Elephas maximus indicus: one gene and its partner. The protein of the gene in region 1 interacts with the protein of each later gene in a pairwise test. Links are inferred from orthologs where the notes say so. Each region holds a gene or a part of one and is shown in the gene's direction. Other genes may lie near its edges. The genes, in order: NFKBID and SS18.

The links.
Region 2: the proteins of NFKBID (region 1) and SS18 interact in a two-hybrid assay, tested with the Homo sapiens proteins (2 studies listed by BioGRID and IntAct). The two-hybrid records come from large-scale screens. The link is inferred for Elephas maximus indicus from reciprocal best matches to the Homo sapiens genes NFKBID and SS18.

What each region holds. Positions count from the first base shown.
Region 1 is NC_064829.1:115,001,649-115,005,556, reverse strand, and holds the start of NFKBID (NF-kappa-B inhibitor delta), read left to right. Parts: upstream 1-1,512; 5' UTR 1,513-1,750; coding exon 1,751-1,756; intron 1,757-2,072; coding exon 2,073-2,263; intron 2,264-2,354; coding exon 2,355-2,460; intron 2,461-2,615; coding exon 2,616-2,762; intron 2,763-2,878; coding exon 2,879-2,930; intron 2,931-3,004; coding exon 3,005-3,153; intron 3,154-3,908. UniProt on the Homo sapiens protein: Regulates the expression of IL-2, IL-6, and other cytokines through regulation on NF-kappa-B activity. Functions in the regulation of inflammatory responses.
Region 2 is NC_064829.1:32,783,121-32,787,028, reverse strand, and holds the start of SS18 (protein SSXT), read left to right. Parts: upstream 1-1,589; 5' UTR 1,590-1,654; coding exon 1,655-1,723; intron 1,724-3,908. UniProt on the Homo sapiens protein: Appears to function synergistically with RBM14 as a transcriptional coactivator. Isoform 1 and isoform 2 function in nuclear receptor coactivation. Isoform 1 and isoform 2 function in general transcriptional coactivation.

The sequences.
Region 1 (3,908 bases):
CAGGAATTTCCCGTGCGCGGGGATTCCGTGAGCGCCATGCTTGGCCGCGCGCCCCGCCTCCGGGCCGGACACCTGGGGACCAGAAGGGAAACGGAGGGGCGGGTATGGAAGATTCCTTTGCGTGAGCACTGTGACGTCAGCGCGTCGCGTCGGGGCTGTTTCCGAGACTGCCCCACCCCGCTTAACCCTTTCTTCGCCGGAGCCCTGGCTCGGAGGGCGAGGATTGGGAGCCCAGACGTCCTGGGTCGAGGGGAGACCGGCTTGGGAACCGGACCCAGGTCCTAGAGAGGAGGGAACTGAGGACCTGGATTGCTGGGTCCTGGGTGCTGTGCTCCCGGACTCTTGAGTCTGAGGGATGGGGGCCTGGACTCTTGGGTCTGAAGGAGGAAGGGACTGGGGGCCTCGACCTCTAGATCCTTTCTGGCTAGGGGACTGTTGGCTCTTGGTTTCTCTGGGAGGGAGACTGGGAACTCGGATGCCTGGTTTCCCAGGGAGCCATCAGCTTCTGGGACAGAGCTGTTGGGTACCTGGATATACGTTTTCAGGGAGACATGCCTGGTGACCCCCGAGGTCTCAGGACTGGTAGATTTGGGGTAGTGTTTTTTTTACGGAAATGACGAGGAGTACAGAGGGGCGCCCTCCCCCTCCCCCTCCCCGTCTTCGTTTCCACGACGCTGGTGGAAAGTTGGGTCGGGGGAAAGTGAGGAGCAAAGAGAAGGAAACGGCGGAGGCGGGTGCCGCACCCATCATCCTCGACTGGCTTTGGCGCTCCAGGCGGCCTAAATGTGCCAGTTTTTCCGCGAGGGAGGGCGCTCGGATTCACTCCCCCGGGCACTTGAGTGACTTGAGGACCTTGATGACTTCCCTGGCCCCCCCCAACCCCCGCAGTGAGCCGGAGTGAGCGCAGCCACTGCCCATCACAGACGGTGAAGAAGCTCCTGGAAGAGCAGAGGCGCCGCCAGCAGCAGCCTGACGCCGGTGGGGCCCCGGTGAGGCTCAGGAGGCCCTGTGGAGTGTTCTCAGAGACCATGTGGGGTGGGCAGGGACCTGCTTCCTTGCTGGGCCCTGAGAGCTGAAGAGAGATGTTGTCCTGACTTAGAGACCCTGTCTGTGGAGAACTGACCGTGAGGGATTGCCAGATCAACTCACCCTTGTTCCTTGTTGCTTATGCCTCTGACAGGGACAGTTCCTGGCTCCCCCGGTGCAGCCCCTGACCCCGTCTGCGAATGAGGGTGAAGCTGGTAAGTCTGGAAACTAAGCTGGTTCCCTCAAATTCCAGCCCCAGCCCCACTTCGAGCTTTGGGGAATCTAGGAGTCAGGCCCCCATTCTCGCTGGGACACCACAGTTTGATTCCTTAGATTCTCTCGGGTCCAGTAATCTGCATACTCAGTCCTTCCCTTCGGTGGCCCAGGAGTCCAGGCCCCAGCCCCTCAGCACCTTGGGTGCCTCGAAGCCCTCAACAGGTCCTCCAGCTCTGACCCATGACTTTTCCAAGCCCACTAACTAGGCCTGCCCCTGCCTCTCCTGTCACACGCAGGCCATAGCCACTTCCTAGTGCCTCAGGAGACTGTGAGTTCTGGACTTGGCGGCCTGGCCCCCTCCACAGGCCTTCCAGACTGGGACCCCAACACGCACGCTGTGTACACCGACAGCTCCTACTCTTACCCCGCTTCTGCTGCTGAAGGTTTCCCGACTTCCAGCTTCTACCCACCCTCGGACCCAGGGCAGCTGTGCCCATTTCCCCAAGGGATGGAGGTAAGATACAGAGTGGGGACGTGGGGGCAAGGTGCAAAAGGGCTGCTAACCATGGATACTTCCTCTTTTCAGCATTCTGAGGTGTCCAGGGCTGGGTTAAGATCCCATTCCTCAGAAGGGTAAAACTGAGGCCCAAAGATCCAAAGTCACTTGGCACAGATGGGACATCTAGCCACTCAGTCAGGGGCTCTGTCCCTGTCCCTGACTCTGTTCATGCGTGTGTGCGTGCACGCGCGCGTGTGTGTGTTGTGGGGGAATGGCAGTTTGGGAAGGAGGAAACCAGCTGACTGGCTTTCCCCACACCTGTGTCCTTCAGGACCCCCTGGATACCCGACTCTATGCAGAACCTTCCCTGACACAGGCAGAATCCTGGAGAGTTTCTGGACTCCTCTCAGGACCCCCACAGTTGCCGCCTGTGGTCCAGGGACCATCCCTGGACACAGCCCGTGCTCACATGCTGGCCTTGGGGCCACAACAGCTGCTGGCCCAGGATGAGGAGGGGGACACGTGAGTATGGGGAATAGGGTTTGCAGGCTCTTGGCTAGGCTTGGGGCTGGGGCGGGGGCTCTGCTCACCGCTGCCCCCTACCTGCCCTCAGGCTCCTGCACCTGTTTGCGGCTCGGGGGCTGCGCTGGGCAGCGTATGCTGCGGCCGAGGTGCTCCAGGCGTGCAGACATCTGGACATCCGTGAACATAAGGGCAAGGTGAGGGCTGAAGGCCTGGATTCCTGGGTTCAGAGGAGAAGAGAGCTGGGGCCTGGACTATGCATTCCTGGGGAAGAGGGGACTAGGAGCTAGGGTCCTCAGTCTGAGGAAGGAGGGCGATGGGGGCCTGGACTGACCTTCCCTGTGGCCTGTAGACGCCTCTTCTGGTGGCTGCTGCCGCCAACCAGCCTCTGATTGTGGAGGATCTGCTGAACCTGGGAGCGGAACCCAATGCCACTGACCACCAGGGCCGTTCTGTCTTGCACGTGGCTGCTACCTACGGGCTCCCAGGAGTCCTCTCGGTATGGCCAGCTGGCAGGTGGGGTGTCTGGGGTGGACTGGTTGCCTACATCCTGGTTTCCAGGGCTAGTCAACTTGGGAAAACCTCAGCCATCACCCTTCCTTCTTCCCCTCCCAGGCTGTGTTTAACTCCGGGGTCCGAGTTAACCTGGAAGCCAGAGACTTTGAGGGTAAGTCAGGCAGCAGGTGGGGCAGGTGGGCTGGGTGCTCCAGATTCAGGACCCTCATTGTCTCTGTCATGCAGGCCTCACCCCGCTCCACACAGCCATCCTGTCCCTCAATATCGCCATGCGCCCACCCGACCTGTGCCCCCGGGTGCTGAGTGCCCAGGCCCGAGACAGACTGGCCTGCGTCCAAATGTTGCTGCATGTGGGTGCTGACCACACCAGCCAGGTGAGCCAGGCCCTGGGCAGCTGGCTGCTGGGAGGGCCAGGGGGATAGGGAGGGCCAGCTGGATGTCCAAGGCTCCAAACAGATGCTGACTTTGCTGCCTCCCAGCTGTGTGGCCATGAGCAGGTGACTTCACTTCTCTGTGCCCCAGTTGTCAACTGGGAATAATAACATTATTCATCTTAGCCTGTATTTATCAATCACTTAACTATTCATGAAGCACTGAGTTTCATGAATCAGCTTATTGAATCCTCACAAACGACCCTTTGGCATATACTATAATTATTTTCTCTTTTACTGGTAAGGCAACTGAGGCACACGGACTAAAAAATCTTGTCGCTTGTGAGTGTCAGAGAAGGGATTGGAACCTAGGAGGTCTGACCCCAGAACCTGGCTCTTAGCGATTCTATTATCTTCCTTTTGCGTGGTAGGAGCTGAGTCACAGAGAGCTGGTTGAAAAAATTAAACATAGACTTTTTATTATTTTAGTTAAAGAATTTTGAACACAGATAAAGTACAGAAAATAATATAAGAGCTCCATGTACCTAATGTCAGTAACCAGCAACCCATGGCCAGTCCTACCCCATCCATTTGTTCACTTTCCTGTATAGGGTTGCTATGACTTGGAATCAACTCGATTGCAACGGGCTTGGTTTTTTTGGTTTTATTTTATATTTATAAGAAGGCCTGGTGGCGCAATGGTTAAATACCTGACCGCTAACCCAAAGGTCAGAGTTTCGAATCCACTAGCTGCTCCA
Region 2 (3,908 bases), about 82 Mb from region 1:
TTTTCCTCACACTGACTTGAAGCCTGGCAGCTTAGGCCTAATTTATAAGCTTAAGGTAGAACAGGAAACACTAGCGCCTTAGTGGTTAAGAGCTACGGCTGCTAACCAAAGGGTCGGCAGTTCAAATCCGCTAGGTACTCCTTGGAAACTCTATGGGGGCAGTTTTACTCTGTCCTATAGGGTCGGTATGAGTCGGAATTGACTTGATGGCCCTGGGTTTGGTTTTTTTTTTGTTTGTTTTTGAAGGCAGAGCAGTGGTTAAGTGCTTGGCTGCTAACCAAAAGGCCATGGATTCCAACCTTTGTTTTAAGTAATTGTTGATTCGTTTTATCTGATTATAGATGGGGTTTCGTAAAGAACCCCACCCGGTTAGAATCCACCTGCCTGCTCCAGGGAGAAAGATGTGGCCGCCTGCTTCCATTAACAAGATGGAACAGTTCTACTCTGTTCTACAGAACCACTATGAGTCAGGATCCACTCAACCGCAATAGGTTTGGTTTTAGGGCGGCAAAAACGGTTAAGCTGTTGGAACCAGCCCTCTCTGGAAGACAGGCCTGCTTATCTGCTCCTGAAAGGTCACAGCCTTGAAAGCCCTATGGAACAATTCTATTCTGCACACATGGGGTCTCCATTGAGCCGGAATGGACTCCAGGGCAACTAACACCACCACCAAAATATAACTGTAAAAGGAAACAGTGAGGGTACTGTATCTCAAAATTCAGTTCCAAAGATCCAACTCAGTTGAAATCATCACTTATGCAAGGGTTTGTCTCAAGAGATGTGCTCCTATGGTCGCCCTGGTCAAGGTGGTTGACTGCCCCTAAGTACAGGACACAACCCTCGTTTCCCTATTTTGCGTCAGGCTTACTTTTTTCAATTGTTAGGCTCGACTTTGTGCGCGTGCGAGACCGTGGACTCGGAGGTGCGCATCTGGGGCATAGCCGAGCTGTTTAAACCAGCGAATCCGCGTTCACATACTCCTTGCACCTCTGCTTCATCTTGGCTGCTGTTACTCGGGTTTGCATGACCTCCCAGGTCCTGATCCACCCCTCTCCGGGCTGCCCCGTCCTGCCCCGCACCGTGGCGAGGACCCGGACAAGTCCAGTCGGCTACTTCTTCCCAGGAGTGAGAAGGGAGTTAGGAAAACTGAATTAGGTCCAAAACGGACCACTGAAACGCAGTTGGACCGACGCTTCAGCGCGCCGGGGAGGGAGGCAAGTTGCAGCAACGCGAAAGGGGCGGGCCGGCTCGGGTCGCTAGCATTTCCTGTGACAGGGGCTGCCCCAGCCTCTCTCTCTCCCGCGGCGGCGGGACCATTTCCTGAATCGCTGAAGCGGAGGGAGGGCTGGGGCGCGGCCTTACCATTGGCAAAAACTAAAGGGGGGGAGCTGGATAAAGAAAGGCTAAGAGATGCGGGGACAGTCAAGAACAGGGAAGTTATACTGGAGCTGTCGTTCCTAAATAATAAGTAAAAACAAAAATTTCGCGGGTGAGAGTTTCTTCTTAGGGCCAGACCGGCTGATGGTTTGTTCGGCACCGGAGAACCCCCCTCCCCTTTTTCCAGAGGTGGTTTAACCCGGAGGCCGGCGTCTTTCCCCAGTTTGCCGTTCACTCGGAGCGCTCGGGACTTGCTGATAGTGGTGACGGCGGCAACATGTCTGTGGCGTTCGCAGCCCCGAGGCAGCGAGGCAAGGGGGAGATCACCCCCGCTGCTATTCAGAAGGTGAAACCTTGCGGGTCGGGGATGCCAGGCCCACCCCGCCTTTGGGAGAGACACTGGGGCAGGGCCGGCCGGGAGTCGGCCCGGCCGGGGGCGGAGGCGGGCCTGCTGGGAAGCAGTCGTGTGGGAACCAGAGCCGCGGGCTGTGCCCGAGTGGGTGGCGAAGAGGCCGAACCAGTTTTCTCGAGGAGTCTTCGCGTGTTTAGGCTCTTTTCTTCAAGCACAAAAGCCCAATTAAGCGCTGCCTGATTTCTCTAGGGATGGGGCGGCGTTTGGGCAGCGGGGCGCGTGCGCCCAGCGGCGGGGCCGAGCGAGGACAGGCTGTTGCTCGGAGTCGGCGCCCCCCGCGCCCCCGCGCGTAGCTCCGGAGTTACTTTGGCGTCGCCCCGCCCCGCGCGCTGCTGCTTGGCGCAGACCCGACCTCGGGTCGCGTGAGTCGGGGTGAAACTCGAAGCGCTGGTCAACCCCGCCTCTCTGCCTGCCCCCAGACTCCAACGGAGTTGGGGAGCACCCAGGAGGACTCGGGAGACACTGAGGGGCGGGCGAGGGAGGACCCTACGGGCTTCGGGGTTACCTTAGGAGTCCCCTTCCCCTGTCTTGAGTCACCCCATAACCGTTTACAGATGAAGCATGTATTTACTGAGCGCCTATTTTAGATGGTGAAGCTACAGTGGTGAGGCATGCTTCCTGCCTTCATGGCGTGTACAGTCCAGTGGTGGAAACACTCCGATGATCGAGACAAATTATAATTTGTGATAAATACACAGGGAGCTGTGTCCCCGTTAGAGTGTAGTGCTACCGCTGTTTCTGTTGTGTAGCTGCCAGTTTGGGACACAAAGGTTTTTTATTGTCCTTTTTTTTTTTTTTTTTTACCCCTCGTTGCCTGTGAGCAAGGCTGCATTCTAAATTTTACTCAGTCGGACTTTAAAAAATTACTTCCTAAAATAAGTGTTTACCTTAGCTGTTTCGATTTGGTTTTATGCACTGAAGCAAGGATGAAAATAGAAGTCAGCTTTTAGTACCACTTAGGACACCATTGTGTCCCCAATAGAGTATGTTAATCGGCTTCTGTTTACTTTAAGCTTCTATGTAGTGTGGCGTTTGACATTTGCCCAACTGTTGCTTAATTTTATGAATAAATTGTCTTGGCAGTGACTGGAAATGTGGTGCTTCATATAGTGCATTGGGCTAAATCTGCAGCCTGGCAAACAGCGTGTGCGCGCGTGCGTGTGCGCACACACACGCACACACAGGCACATGTTTCTGAAGGCGCTTGTTTTTCTTTTTAGGATGTAGAAACAGTCCCGAGTTTTTCTATATTTACTTTTTTCCTGTAAAGAATTTTTCTTAAGATATTTGTCATGGGTGATAATTTAAAGGATGCTGATCAATTATTTTTCATCCCCAGATGAGAAGAGAAAGTGGATTTCAAATTAAATGCCTCATTCTGCAATGTGAGGGATTGACGTTAGATACAAGACATTCTTAACGGTGAAGTTTGTGAGGTTGAGGAATATACTGAAATGATATGTTGCAGAAATTTTATGTTGAGGATTAGATTAATGTCATTTCAAGGGTTTTTTTTTCTATTTTTGCATTATGTGATTCTGTTTAAGAAATAACTGCAGTAATTAGAAGGGTATATTAATTTTTTCTAACAAGTGAAGAGTGATTCATTTGCAGAAAAAAAGTTACAATTAATGTTAAGTGGGTCTTTCTTTTTAATTAAGTGTTATCAAACCAAAACCATTGCCATCCAATCGATTCCGACTCAGGAGATCCAATGGGACAGAGTAGAACTGCCCTTAGGGTTTCCAAGGCAGTAAATCTTCACTGAAGGAGACTGCCACGTCTTTACTCCTGCAACAGTTAAATTGCTACCTAGATAGTTGTGATAGAATGATTTGGTGCTATGCCCCATGTTTTCATTGAATGGCAAGTTCAGGAGGAACACTTGCTCATCTGCTCTAGTCCCTTGATTTTACAGATGAATGAGCGCCTGAAAAGTTAAGTACTTTGTTCAGGATAGCAAAGCTGGCGCTGAAACTAACCAGCTTTCCAGTTGCTACATCAGTATTTTTTCCTCAGTGCCCTTTTATGTAGATTAATTATTTAGCCCTTAAAGCCAGGATTCCATTGAGTCATTATAAGATGGTAGAATGATAAATTGATACGCTTTTTTTAAAAA